Linked DNA regions of Drosophila melanogaster. The gene in region 1 interacts genetically with each later gene. Each region holds a gene or a part of one and is shown in the gene's direction. Other genes may lie near its edges.

Region 1 (7,616 bases):
TAGCATTTTCAAGTATAATATATGTGGTGTATTGTGGTGTACATTTTCATAAGTGCACTTGTTAGTTTTGTCTTCAAAAATGCCAAGATGACTGACACTATTCTAACTGAAAAATAATTTAACAAAGAGCCATTTATTTATAGACAGTGCCTTGCGATGGGCCTTTGTTTGTATTGAGAAAATAATCAACGTGCACGATATACATAACACCAAGTATTCCCTCTTCTCCTCAGGAACCCAGAAAATGGTCAACGAACTGAATAGGCCTCAAAATGGGGACAATGCCGCCTTGAGCGAGGTAAGCTGGAGTCTTCGGGAAATTGCAAAACTCTTAGTATTTAAGTGTTTTAAAACAATAAGAAAACACAGTCAGTAAAGTTAAATAAATACCGTGACACATTCTTTTTAGACAACAAAATGAATGAGTCACACCAATAAGCCTACAGTCTCTAGATGTTTCAGTTGAAATGAAATTTAAGTACGAAGCTTTTTCTATACCAGTGAGCTAAAAAATAGAGTTTTTTAATAATAATATACAAAATCATTTTTCTTTTGATGCCCTAATGTAGTCTTTGAACTATGATGTTTTTAAACCAATTTTTTCATTATTGAAGCTTTCAAAACTAATTATTTGTATTTTTTAAGCGCCTAGCTGCTTCCAACAGACAGCTGCAAGAGATGCAGGAGGAGCACCGCCAGTTGCTTGAGGAGATGGAGACACTGCGCTTACGAGCCGCTGAGCTGACCCTTCTGAATGCCCAGCGCCGACAAGTGCGGCAGTCCACCGAGGAGGAGGAGGTTCAGTCCCACGTTGAATCCTCATCGGAGACAGTAACAGTTGCTTCATCCGCCAGTGCTTCTGGAGAGTTCACAAACCGGGAAGAGGCACCATCTGGTGAGGAAGAGGGCGGGGAGGACAAAGAGGAGCAGGCCAGTTATCTGCAGGAGAAGCTAAACGAGATCGCCAACCTGAAGGCGCAGTTTAAGCGCGTGCAGAACATGGTGGACACCACCAAGATGATCGAGGAGCACATGTCCTCCAGGCAAACGGTACAGGTCCAGAGCTCCACCTCCGTTCAGACCAGCAGGCAGACCACCTCGTCAGAAGTCCGAGTGGCCAGCGAGGCCGTAGAGAGTGCCCAAGAAGAGAATCCATCGACCTCGTCGAGTGCTCCCGATAACGCCGAGCTCCTGAATTCCATGCTTAACATGTTCACGGACTTCACCAGTGATCTACGCGGTCAAGCGGTGGGACTCCGGGCGGAGAGGGATCGGATTCGTGCGCTCAAGGAGGACATCATCCAGCGCAAGCAGGGAAAGTAGGCACGTCCAAACTTGAAAGGGAAAATGGCTCTAGTCATATAATGTTTATTATCCAAGGAACATATTATAAAGTAATCTCCAAATAAATAATTATCCTTAAAAGATATCAAATTACCAAGTAACGTTAGTTTATCTACACCAAAAGCATTTAAAATACTTTTTACAGATATACATTTTATTTTAAACTAAAAATAATATTTATTTTTGAATTTTAGAAAACATTCGATTTCAAAAAACGTCCGCTGCCAGTGTGACCATAACTTGGTAGGCTTGTTAACTAGCTTCCAGCCCTGGTTGGGAACAGCTGTCAGAGTGCGCAAAGCAAAAAAACAAAGTGGGAGTACAAAAAAGAGGAGTTTTTTCAATTTTGTAGCGTCGTTTTTTGTACGCAAATATATATATATATATTTTCTAATGGCGCCGCCGCCCAAGGTAGTTGTGGACCAAGCCAACGCCAGCGCCCGCAGCAATGGCAGCAGCAACAACAACTCGGTGGGCGGGGCAACCGGTGCGGTGCCTAAACAACAAACGCCTGTAAACGGAGCACCCACGTCCGGGTCGAGTGCATCTGTGACATCCAGCCGGTCGGCCCGCTCTCGCCGGCAGCAGGAGCACCTGGGCGAACCGGACATGGAACTTGTCGAGCCAGAGACGCTGCAGCGGGAGACGCTGAAAACTCTGAATGTAAGTTAGACGGACGTCTGGTTGCCATGGCAAATCTTCTCGAAGAGAAGACACCAAGACCTTTCTCTTCTTGGTTTTATAAATACACTTTACACTCATCGCGACCTGCGGAAATTCGTTAGCCGCTGGCTCAGTAGCGAATGCGAACTCAACCACTGCGGACAACGAATTTCGATCGGCCAGAGCAGCGCCCTTATACATATATATATATATATCTGAAATAGATATATATATATAGACCTAAAATCAGCAAAATTACCGCAATCCTCGTGCTGGTTTTCCTGCTAATCTTCATTTACTGTTGCTTAAAGGATCTCCTCCAGCGAGCACGCATCACCAACGCCAAGAATCGATCGCCGGCGGAGCAGCATCTGTCTAGCAAGGATCACAGGTCGCCTGCACAACAGCAACAGCAGCGCGAGGCACTGCGTCAGTTGGCCGCCGAACACGGCAACTACGATACAGCAGGTAATGGGTCCTGAAACCGTTGAGGAATATACACATTTAATTGAGCAATTTCCAATATCCGCACCTGGCAAAGTGATCGGCCTGGCCCACACAGAGATCGGTGCGCCAGTTCATGTTCTATAAATAAGATGCGCACGAAAATAAACGCCCACTGAGATGATGTAGTTCGCAGCGCAGTATTTAGCAATGGACCTAAACATCCATACTGATCTTTGGCTATTTTCCATTACAGAGCAACTGCAGGAACAGCAGCAGCGCTATCGATTCCCCGTCCGTCCTGTCCAGAGGGTTCAGCACCAGCCATCCTCGTCAGCTAATAGCACAGGCGCCCCCTCATCTTCGACGGCTTTGCTGCGTTTGCGTCAATCGACGCCTCCGAATGCCACAGTAGGTGTGGTCATACCGAACGCAACTACCAGCAACGGAAACGGCAATTTGAGTGGCAACGAGGAGCAGGCACCGCCACTGACCCCCGCTGGACTGCAACAACTCGTTCACCGACTTCTTGGTGTACACCATTTTGCTCCCAGAACCGAAGGTTTTCGCTCGCAGGTTGACGTGTTACGCGCCCTGCTAGGATTAGACGAGAACCTGAATAGCAGATATCAACCGAGTAGGAAAGTTGTAGAGGTGAGTTTGAAAGCTTGTGTCAGGAACTTCAAGTGAGCCGTACATTTATAACATTTATAAGATTGATAATAACATTTTTTATATCGTAATAATAAATGAAACTAAATCCTTTAATTCTTGCCCCAGACGAACAACATGGTGCACGAAATCAACCCAAATTCGGATCAGGGTGAAGGCGTAGTCAATTCGACCAGCTTGGAGGATGTTGCATTAAGCGAGGTTAGTTGGTTAATAAAACCAAAAGTCTGCCTTCTAGTACTCAAACCATTTGTACCTTTCAGATGAGCGACAACCGCGCCCAATCCATTCAGTCCCTACACAGCGTCTTGGAAACGCCCACGCCCGATACCACGCCCAGCTTCGATGAGTTGCAGCAGCGCTTGGAAGCCTCCAATAGGAACATGCAGCACCTGCACGACGAACAGGCGAAGCTGTTACAAATCCAAAATTTGGCCAAGACTCACCTTAACGAGATGGAGCGGCTGCGCCAGCAAGCCGATAGCTTACCCCACAATGTCAATGGGGGAGAGGCCCCCAAATACGAGTCCGTGCAGCAGGTACAGGACGACATGGCGTCGCTGGTGGGGCGCATGAAGAATCTCACCGCCTTTATACACAACCAGAACGAACTGAGCACGGTGCTTGGCGATGATGGGCCCGAGATCCTGGCCGAGCAGGAAGCCCTGCAGGAGAAACTGGAATCACTGCGCACCCAACGTGAGGATATGCGCAATCTGGTGGACGAACTAAACAGCATCAACCGTGCGGCCAGGGAGACTGCTAGAGTCATCAAAGAGAAAGAGGAGACTCCCACGCCTCCTCCCAAGCCAGAGGAGGCTGCCCCAGCGGCTCCCAAGGAGCGTGTTGTTCCTGTGGAGTATCAGAGAAACGTACCCATCATACGCCAGGAGGCGGCCAACGCTGCTCAACGGGCACTTCACGCACAGGCAATGATCAACCAGAAGACGGCAGATATAGAAGCACTCAAGGCTCAGATGGCGAGACTAAAGGGAATGCTGTACACTGTTAGCCAGATTGAAGAAAGTACTCCCAGCATGGGCTCCACCTTAGAGCGGCGTAGTGAGGAAAGAACTAGCGTGGAGCGCGAATTGCCGGCCGAGATTGCCCAGCGCGTATTCGCTCTGAACGATGTTACGAGCGAACTGAGAGCGGAAGCAGCAAGCTTGCAAAAGGAGCGTGACCGTATCCTAGCCCTGAAGGCAGAGATTGAGCGACGCAAACAACAGGCGGCCGCCGCTGTTCAAATGGGCGATGATGCACTTAAAAGAAGCAGTCTTACCCCAACACCCACCCCCATGAGACAGCGGATGACCGAGGAAGAGGATCCATCCGAAGTGGATAATTCTCTTCAGGCTACGCCCACCAAGGAACAACTGCGCGATGAACTGCGCTCGCAGTGCGAGCGCCTGCGAACGGAATACGAGCAGAAGCAGCGGGAACTGGAGCAGCGTTACGTAGCCAGTAACAACACCACATCGGAGGCGGATGACGAGGCAAACGACGACACTGACAGCGATAAGTACTTCGCCAACGTACGTACCGCTTCCTCAGCGACCCTAAAGAGGGCTCCATCCGCCAACACAGTGGTGGAGCAACGACGAGGTCAGCAACCTAACGTTCCCCCACAGCAGGCACCACCACCACCGCCGCCTGCTCCTCCGTCGACGCTAAACGAAGATGACCTGAATGTGACACTTGATACGCTATCCCTGGGTAATGACAGCATACCATCCAGCAGCAATAGATCGCAGTACATGCCGCCCCCCATGCAACCAGTGCCTGGAATGTGGGGTACGTTTTTAATTCCACCAACAAAGGCGGAAATTTACCAACTTTACTTTACCAACTTGAATTCATGTATTAGTTTCCTCGTTTTACGCTTATTTTTATGCATCCGCTAGCAGCATCACACAACTCTGGAAGTTCGTGGCATGGACAGCAGCCCGTCTACGGTCAGCCGAGCTCCAGTGCCGGCACAGAGTTTAAAAAGCTGCCAGCCGCCCAACAAGGGGGCTCCTCAAATGGATCCGGATCGAATGCCTCTACCGACGCAGTTCTGCTGCAGCAGTTCATGCAGACGCAGCAAATGCTTATCAACTCTGTGTGCCAGTGCAACCAGGCACTGTGGCATCAACAGCGCGAAATCGACAACCTCAACCACCAGCTACATGCGGTAAGACAATCCATGAGATTAGAGAGCCTAATCAAAGACTAATTCAAGTGTTTTTTCACAGCTCCAGGATCGATTTAATGTTGTAGCATGCCAGGATCACAGCTTCGGCTTGCGCTCGGAATCAGTACCGCCTCCGGTGGGCCCTGGAATGGGTCAGATGCCCAACAATCTGTGCCTGGGCAGCAGTCGAGCTCAATCTGAGCAGCTATTTAACTTTGGTGCCCACCAGAGCGCCTTTAGTAACTATCAGCGCAGCTGTCATCGTAGCGGGGCAGAATCGCATCATCATCAACAGCAGCAGCATCAGGCGCAGCCGTTCCTTAACAATGCTGCTCCCCCGCCACCGCCGACGCACTTCAACAACGAGACACCCCTGTCGCCGCCTACTTACCGCTCAAGTCCAGGTCCCATCTTCATGAACCACCATAACAACACGATACATCAGAACAACTCGAATCTGCGAACCCAGAACCAGCATGCCAACAATCTGCACTCGCTGCCCGAGGGAGCAGCTGGTGGAGGAGCACCTGGTGGCGGTATTACATTGAACAATCAAGTACCACCCGGAAACAGAGCCAACAACTACTGGGACAACTTCCGCAGGTAATGCTTTATAACTTTGGTGTTGGATTTATTAATGGTTGTTTGATGGAAAAGGGTCAAAAGCAATAAAAATTAAATAAAACTATTGTGAAGAGTTAATTTTCAATTCTGTGCACCGGTAAGTGCGACCACGCGTTGCAGATAAGTGTCCCATTAACAGAGTTGAAAGTGACTAACCAAGACTAACTCCAAGTACTGACCAAGTTTTGCAAGTGCCTATTCGGCAGTAAACAAAGCTAATTTATAAAAGATGTGTATTCAATTTAAAAAGGATATATGGAATAGAAAAACTTAACTTAGTAACGCTCACTAGATTTAGCTAGTTTATCAACTGCATGATTCTTTGCTACCCGCTTGCATTAACCCATTAATATCTGTACGCTCTTCCAGCCATTCGCGCCAAAATCTCTTATCAAATAAAAGCAACGAGGAGCTGAACGTGGACCTCCAGCAGTATCGGCGACAACGGGCACGTCCCAGCTACTTTCAGCCGCCCCAGTTGCTTCCGCCTACTACGCGTGGTGGTTTGACCCACCAGCAGCAGCGTCGTCACTTTTTCGAGGCGCCACTAACCGCTTTGCATGGCAGCAGCTCCAATGGCAGCAATAATCTCAACAACAGCGGCAGTTCGGGCAGAAAAAGGGACTGGCGCGATGATGCAGGCCACATTCGCGACCACGACGATGAGGATGTGGACGAGGTGGAGGAGAACCATGATAACGTCATATTCGGCTCGGGTCGACGTCGCAATCGTCGCCGTCCTCAGCTTTCCACGCTGCGGGATGATGAGTCCGAGCAGGCTAGCTCCTCCAATCTCAACATGAACGTAAACTATGGCAACAGTCCGCTGTATCAGCGGAACAAGGTACCAGCAAAGCCCACCACTTCGACTGTGTCGCTTACTCCTCTGCAGCAGCGACATCTTCGTTTCGACTTCGAACTTCCAGCTCACTACATGGACTACATCGAGCTACCCCAGATTACTCCAGTGGACACTACTCCTACGCTCGGACAAGAAGCATCGCCCGCGGACGAATCAAATGCCATGGAGCAAACCGAGGAAACGGCCTCCGAGGAACTGAATCGAAATCTGCTGGTTAACGCTCTGAAGAACGACAAGTTCACCACAAAGTTTTATGAATCAATCAAGGAGGATGTCTACCGCCGGCTGGAGACACTCTTCGAGCAGCAGCAGCAGCAGCAGCAACAACAACAGCAACAAAATCAGCAGCTGCAGCACTCACATGAACCACACGGCTTGCGAAAGGCTCTTAACCAGGAGGAGAACGAACCTACTGGCGACGCCGAGGCCACCGAGAGTCGCAGTGAAACCCCGCTAGAGGTAATGCGTCTGCAGCTAGACAACGATCGGCCCGAGGACGAAAAAGGAACGCCAGTGAAGCAGCTAAGTTTGTCCAATCCACAGAACGGGCAGCACCTGGATGAAATGGAGGACAGTGCTTCTGCTGTTATCTCTTCTCTTAGGACCGAGAACGAAGAGGTAAGAAAGGCTTTCGTAAACTGGATCGATTAACTCATAATTGCGTCTTCCTTACCAGCAAATCCTCGAGGGAAAACTAGAACAAGCCTCTGGCTCGGGATCAGGACCAGGGACCAGCATAGAACTGGCACCGGATCACGAACTAATCGAGTACATTATCAAACGCATTCGCAATCAGACGCACAACAACACCGTCATCAATGACTCCCTACT
Region 2 (6,733 bases), on another chromosome or scaffold:
GTAGTTCCCTTGAATCCGTCTTGAAATAGAATCGAAGGGAATCCCACTTGCACTCCGACATGTATATAAGAAACATATACATATAAGCTAATGAATTATCATAATGTGCCACCCACGAATTCGTGAAATCTATTTAAATTCTTTTGCGTCGCATATTTTTTGTTTGTTTACCTTAATTTGATTATCACTCTCGAGCGTGCTCACTCGAGGTGTTTTATATATGAGAGCTCTACCTTAGCAAATTCTCCTACTAATTGTAAACTTTACCAACTATTTCCACAGAGGCTTGGCCACGCAGCTGGTGCGACAGATTCCCAACACGGCGATCATGATGGCCACCTATGAGGCGGTCGTCTATGTGCTCACGCGGCGCTTCAACAACAAATCGAACGAGTTCTACGACTTTTAGATGCCTTTCAAAGGACTGGAGAAGGAGTAACCCAATCTGTGCATATGTAGACGCGACTGCTGCAACTTTATGTAATTTTATCCCTCGTTTTTAAACGATCCAAACCAACGAGCGCAAATTCTTAGTTAACTAGCTTCTAAGTCAGATATGAAACGAACTCGATAGACTTAAGACGTTAGACGTTGAACGTTGGCCAACCAATCGAAAAAAAAAAAGAAGCAAACAAAGAAAAAACCAATAATGGGAAACACGCACCAGGATCGAAGTGCACCATCCACACCCTAAACCCACTTGCTGCATGCCACAGAAGGATGTGGTATGCCACCGCAGGGCGAAACGTTATCAAAATTTGAAAAGGCTGCTATTTAGTTAAAGTTACAATATATATTGAGTGTATAAATGTGGTTGATACTTGGATAATATAGTGTACATAGGACTCGATTCGCTCAGAGTGCATTGTAAATAGTTAAAGAGTGAGTTCGCTGGCGTAGTTTTCTTAGTTGTAAGCACAAAATGTTGAATCGGCCGCAGTTGCCAGTAGATGCCGCTAAATATATATATATATAGATATAAAGCCGACCGATCCGATTCGTAAACTGTAAAAGTTTCCGTTAAGTTTCCTCAAATGCGATATACGATTTAGTTATCATTACTCTACTATATTACTTTAACTATATTGATACAATTTTTGCTGTTTATTTAGTCCATTAGTTAGCTAGTTAGTTAGTTATCCCCCCCCCCTCCACGCAAAACGTATTTCACTGATAATGAGCAAAGAACTAAGGAAACCACTGTGAATAATTGATTGCAATCCGATTTGATGGTGAAATCAATAAATACAACAATTTTGTTTAAAAATAACCCACTCGTTTCCCATTTAATATATATGTACATTATCTTATCTTAACAATCGTCTGCAGTCGAACATAGTTCATCTTGGCTAACCAGACTGCCGCCCATAAAAGTGAGATGAGATAAGCCGATTTGGCCAAGATAATACGATTTCGCACAACTAAATTAAAGTGATTTATTGGCTAGCTACTACACTGCGAAAGTAGTGGTAGCTTATTGTAAATATTTTATTTTTCTGAATTTCAAAAATTTAGATCCTGGTTCGGGTACGTGCTAAAAACATAGCATAGCCTGGTTCACAACCTATGTGCTCCATCGAAGATCTCCACCACGTGAGCGATCGCAGTTGTAGTCCATCTATATCACGCCACCACCACGCTCAGCGACGTAACAAAGTGCCGTCTCTAGTAACGTAAGCAGTGTTTCGAGCAACAAGTTTATTTTATTTTCATAAACAAAGTTTGTTTAAAGCGAAAAATCCTGGCCAAAGTGCTAATTCGTTGGCTATTCCGCGAGCAACCTTGATAACGAGTCGCAGAGCAGTCATAGAGCAGCGCAATTAACCCCGATACAAAGCAATCAGTGCAATTGGAGCAGCTTGAAAGGCACACGCCAACAAATCGAGATCGAGCTGATCGAGTCGCGTTGACACCCATCATTCCGCCATGCAAATCGATGCACTGGAGGCCTGAATATGCTGCTCAGCGAGACCCATTTCTGGACCACGTTGCGCGAGGATGTGGTGCGGATCAAGAGCCAGGACCTGGGCGCCTTTCGCTACCTCAGGCAGCGCGACAAGGAGCAGGAGCAGCAGGACCTCGCCTGCCTGGCCAAGCGAGACTATACGGAGCGTCGCAATGGACTGGCCGTGCTGAAGAACTCTGGTCGCAAGTCCACCGGCCGCTTGAAGGACAACCTCAAGAAGCTGGAGGACCTGCTGCGCCAGCACAGGATCATCCACTCCGAGTGGCAGGACGCGGCGCAGGTGCTGCTCCTCTTCTCACACGGCCTGATCGCCCACATCTGCGTGGACATCTACACGGGCGACATTCTGCGCATGGTCTTCGAGAAGTACCTGGTGGGCAAGCTCGCCTCCGAGGTCATTACGGATGGTATGTGCGATTCTCTCCTTTCACCCGCTCCAGCCCGCCCTCCATCGCATTAGAGCCATCCATCAATCAGCTTGGGCATTGCATTTCTGCATGTGCAGCTCGACTGGCAGACATCTCAACTTGCAGCGTTCGAAAATCAGTTAATATGCGTTAACATCACGCAATACATAATGGCTATTTCAGGCGTAATTAAAGGTTCCTCATCATTAGAACGAATTACCAAGACAGCTTGCTAGAAACACATGCATGCCATTTAATTATTCACTAAGCTCTCAGCTATAAAAGCTGTCCTGCATTTAGTTCTTTGTGCTGTTTGCCGCTTGTCATCCAGGGTATCAGTCATTCGATAGAGTGCAGTCCGCATTTGGCCTTGCTCCGCGGAGTGCTGCTTGTGCAGTTATGGAGAAATTTGCATTGGCAACAAGTGCGACTTGATTTGCACTTTCCCACACCAACACAGCCGCACGCACACATGCAGGGCATGCAATTATTGTAATTTTTAATTAATCTGCTGGCTTGTTTTGTTGCCTGTAAATATGCGAACCCCCAACCCCTTTCCCCCATCCACCATCCTCCGGCTTTCCATGTTTTGTTCGAGCCACTCATTCAGCTTTGTCGCTTGTGTCTCTTTTCTCGTCGTGCGCCCGCATCCGTTGTCTCGCCAGCTTTTTTCACCCGTTCCCACATCGTCTTGGCCTACAATACCAACCAGCTGACGGTGGTGCATCTGCAGAGGCCTAATGCTCGCTCCCAGGGACCGGAGAAGATCGCCAATATGGATCCGCGCATCTTCCACGTGATCATACCGGGCGCCACAGAGCGCAAACTATCCCGCCACCTCACAGTTAACGCCAGCTTCGATCTGTTCGTGGTTTGGACGCAGTCCTCGCAGAACGAGGTGTATCCCTGGAGGCCAACGATAAGGGACCAAGATCGTGCCAACATACATGTGTTCAAGATCAAGGGGTAAGTTGCACAGTACAACTCCCACTCCATGGCCCAGTCTAATCGCTTTGCTCAGCTTGCAGCTGGAATCGATTGCCTATTGCTGGTCGGAGAACGATCCGCTGTGCGTGGACTTCCTGCGAAGCAGCGAGAGCCAGATCATCACCCTGGAGCAGAAGGTTTCCCGCAAGGGCGACATAAGCGCAGAAATCTGCTCCTACGAACTGGCCGCCGGCAAGATGCAGCGCACCGCCATTACCTCCATTCCAATGGGCGCCCAGATCTGCTCCTTTGCCTTCAGCCCCGACCAGGAGAAGCTCTTCCTGGGCAGCGTCGATCGCAATATCTGCCTGCACGACCTGGTCCAGCAGTCGACAAAGTACGCCAACCAGATTGAGATCGTGCCCAATCAGTGCGCCTGGCACTGCGACTCCGCCATGCTTTGCGTGGCCAACGAGCGATCGGTGCTGCAGTGCTTCGACCTGGCGCTGGCCACCATTGGCCATCAGCTGGTTAGCGAGAATGTGACGCCGTCCAGCTTGCTGGATCTGTCGCACTACTTCGTGGCCCAGCCAACGCTGCTGAGTGTCGCCTTCAGCCGAAAGCCAGATTTGTCCACTTTTAAGCACACCTACGCCCAGACGGATTGCCTGCTGCTGCTGGTGTACGAACAGGGACCTTTGGCCTGCATGCGCATCTTTGGCGGCACCGGAATGCGCGGCGACATCCACAATTCCGGACTCACTGCGGACGTCATTGCGGACAAGTATCTGCGGCTGCAGCAGCCGGACAGAGCGGTCAATGTCCTGGCCGCCCTCAACTGGGAGACCTACGGAGCCATGTGCCTGATTACGCTGCACAAGATAGCCAACTATGTGTTCTTCGGCGGTGACCAGCGACGACCTCGCATCGAGCTGATGGCCAGAGCGTTGAAGACATTCGCCCACACGCTTTCCGAGGAGACGAAGGACGAGTTCAGCGATCAGGTGTACGATCTGAAGCGCCGCTTCTGCTTCTATCTGCTGCGGTGAGTTGAGCTCGTGTGAACATGCCACTTTTATGCTCAATCCTTTCGTTGCTTGCAGCAAAAACCTCTTCGCTGAGGCCTTCGAAATCGCCCAGGATGTGGCCGACTATGACATCTTCATGGACCTGTACAACCTAACCAAGTGCATCTCAAGCCTGAGTGAGTTCGCCCAGGTGGCCTTCAGTCAGGCAGCTGCCATAATCCACGAGGAAGATCGCGCCAACGGCAATCTCAGCCTGACCTGTGACCTGCGCTCGGAGTCGGCCTGTTCGCTGTCCACCTGCTCGGACATGTTGCGCGGTCAGGGAGCAGGAACTGCCCCCGAAACCGGACTAGGCGCAAGTCAGCCACAAAGCCAGCAGGTCCTGAAGAACTATGTGCCACCGCTGCCCTCGTTCAAGTCGAAGGTATTCAACGCTGAGATGATCAAGATCAACATACCGAAACCGGAACTGAGGCCGCCCTTGCCGAAGGTTTCAATAGCGCCGCCAACATCTTCGCTGGCGAGTCTAACCCTGAAGTCCAACAGTAGTCTGCAGCAGGCGCCCGCAAAGAGTCTGCATCCAAATGGTTCGTGTGAAGAAAATTCCCTTCATAACTTAAATAATTTATCCATTATTTCAGGCAATTTGTGGTCCCAGGACGTGCCGGATCAGACGGTGGGTCTGCCTATGGCTAGTAGTCCACTTCCTCGTCTTCCGCCTTCAAACATTCCAGATCAGAGCGCCCAGCTGGGTCAGTTCAGCACGATGCCAGCTTCGCCTCCGCCGACAGGGTCCTATCAGCCCAAGTTTTATCAACATCCGCTTGTCTCTGGCAATATTCCCGCCATGCTGCCATCGCTCACCAGCGAGGACTACCAGAAGCGCCTGCTGCAAAAGAAACCCACCGCATCCATATTGTCCAACCCGGCGAATCCAGCACCCACCAACGGAGAAGCACCCGCCACGCCCGCAAAGTCACAAACGGCCGAAAAGAACAAAGTCAAGTTCTCGGATACAATTCAAGTGGCGGTGGTGCCAGTGAGTTAACAAATCAATCGATGATGTGACAGTTTACTAATGCTCTTACTCGAACAGGAAATTCCTCGCAAGGAAAAGCCAATGCCACCCAAGAGAAATGGTTACTCCAGGCCCGCTGCGCGACATCTGACAAATCCTAAAAAGGAGCTCGCAGACAGCCTGCCGCTCTGTCATCCGAACGACGAGTATCTAAAGGATTTCAACCCCATTACGACCAGTGGGTATTTGTTGAGTTCACCAATAACCTTGCCCCATTGACCGTGTCATTTCTTCGCAGATGTGACTAAGCCGCCCATCCGACGACGCGAGGAAGAACCCAAGAGCAGCAGCAAGGGCGGCAACTCCTCCTCCTCCTCGTCGTCCATCAAGGTGGTCCACTTCGGCGTGGTCTAATAATTCATAGTGCAATTCCCAGGCGTACACCACACAACGGTTAAGCGCTGCGTCTTCCAATCGTTTGTAACTATTGTAGTAGGCTGCTCCTTCTACCCTCTTCCTTTACTCTTAGTCATACATACCTAATTATACATAGCCAATCTAGTCATAAGCTTATACACTCATACACCCATCCTTAACATACAAATATTATCGAGAAACTTATCGACTAATCGACTCGCCACTCTGCAGAGAGCGCGGCAGTCAGTCGCTGTTGAACCAAGCTAAAGGACAGATCAAAAATAAAAGAGACACGTGAAATTGTATTAGAATATTAACTTCTGTAAACGGCGGCTAAACTATTGCCGTCCCAGTTAGTGCAAAGCTTTAAATAGGAAAGTTTTACTCATAGGTTCTCTATACTCTTTACACAGGTTACTCATTAAAGCTAAGCATTAAATGTTTGCCAAATCGGAGGCGCCGCCTACTTCTTCCTGGTGGTGGTGGGTCCGCCCATGCGCTCCAGCTCGTCCTTCAGGTCGAGCAGCTCCTTGTCGGGCACGTAGCGCCGCTCCTCGCAGTCGTCGGTGTACTCCTGCACCTGCAAGCTCACACCCTCGGGCAGCGCCGCCTGGGCCAGGCGCAAGAACTGCGGATAGACTGGCGCATCCACATTGTTCAGCTGCAGGTTGCGCTCGTAGGTGGTCAGCTTGTACTCCGATTCGATGACCGTGGAGTTGGGCCGCAGTCGCTGCACCGTGGTCTTTTGCGGAGGGAGGGCGTAGCAGTCGGAGACGTCCAAGTCCAGGTACTCGGCCAATCCGTGCAGAAACCTCTGGTAGCTCTCCAGCTGCGGGTAGTCGTAGCCCTTGATCTGCACATTCAGGCTCTCGTACTGCGGGAATTTCGGCTTGAGGGACTGCAAACGGAGAACAATGGTTACTGACCACCAAAATAATTGCTCATCTAGTCTGATCTGATTGAAATCTGT

Evidence for each region. A genetic interaction does not mean that the proteins touch.
Region 2: of cmb (region 1) and frtz, changing one enhances a phenotype caused by changing the other (phenotypic enhancement), as found in Drosophila melanogaster (one study listed by BioGRID).

The regions. Positions count from the first base shown.
Region 1 is NT_037436.4:13,440,982-13,448,597, forward strand, and holds the start of cmb (combover), read left to right. Parts: upstream 1-1,612; 5' UTR 1,613-1,737; coding exon 1,738-2,007; intron 2,008-2,137; exon of another isoform or gene 2,138-2,318; coding exon 2,319-2,475; intron 2,476-2,707; coding exon 2,708-3,105; intron 3,106-3,231; coding exon 3,232-3,324; intron 3,325-3,386; coding exon 3,387-4,917; intron 4,918-5,027; coding exon of another isoform or gene 5,028-5,030; coding exon 5,031-5,299; intron 5,300-5,360; coding exon 5,361-5,902; coding exon of another isoform or gene 5,903-5,906; exon of another isoform or gene 5,907-5,980; intron 5,981-6,292; coding exon 6,293-7,403; intron 7,404-7,461; coding exon 7,462-7,616. Other genes in the region: CG14109 (uncharacterized protein), read left to right, coding at 245-298, 646-1,323.
Region 2 is NT_033779.5:1,710,779-1,717,511, reverse strand, and holds frtz (fritz), read left to right. Parts: upstream 1-1,660; 5' UTR 1,661-1,955; coding exon 1,956-2,373; intron 2,374-3,038; coding exon 3,039-3,339; intron 3,340-3,394; coding exon 3,395-4,345; intron 4,346-4,403; coding exon 4,404-4,915; intron 4,916-4,969; coding exon 4,970-5,367; intron 5,368-5,424; coding exon 5,425-5,584; intron 5,585-5,644; coding exon 5,645-5,760; 3' UTR 5,761-6,210; downstream 6,211-6,733. Other genes in the region: Rim2 (replication in mitochondria 2), read left to right, coding at 283-409; mRpL48 (mitochondrial ribosomal protein L48), read right to left, coding at 6,227-6,661. UniProt on the Drosophila melanogaster protein: Probable effector of the planar cell polarity signaling pathway which regulates the septin cytoskeleton in both ciliogenesis and collective cell movements. Functions cell autonomously to regulate wing cell hair polarity and number.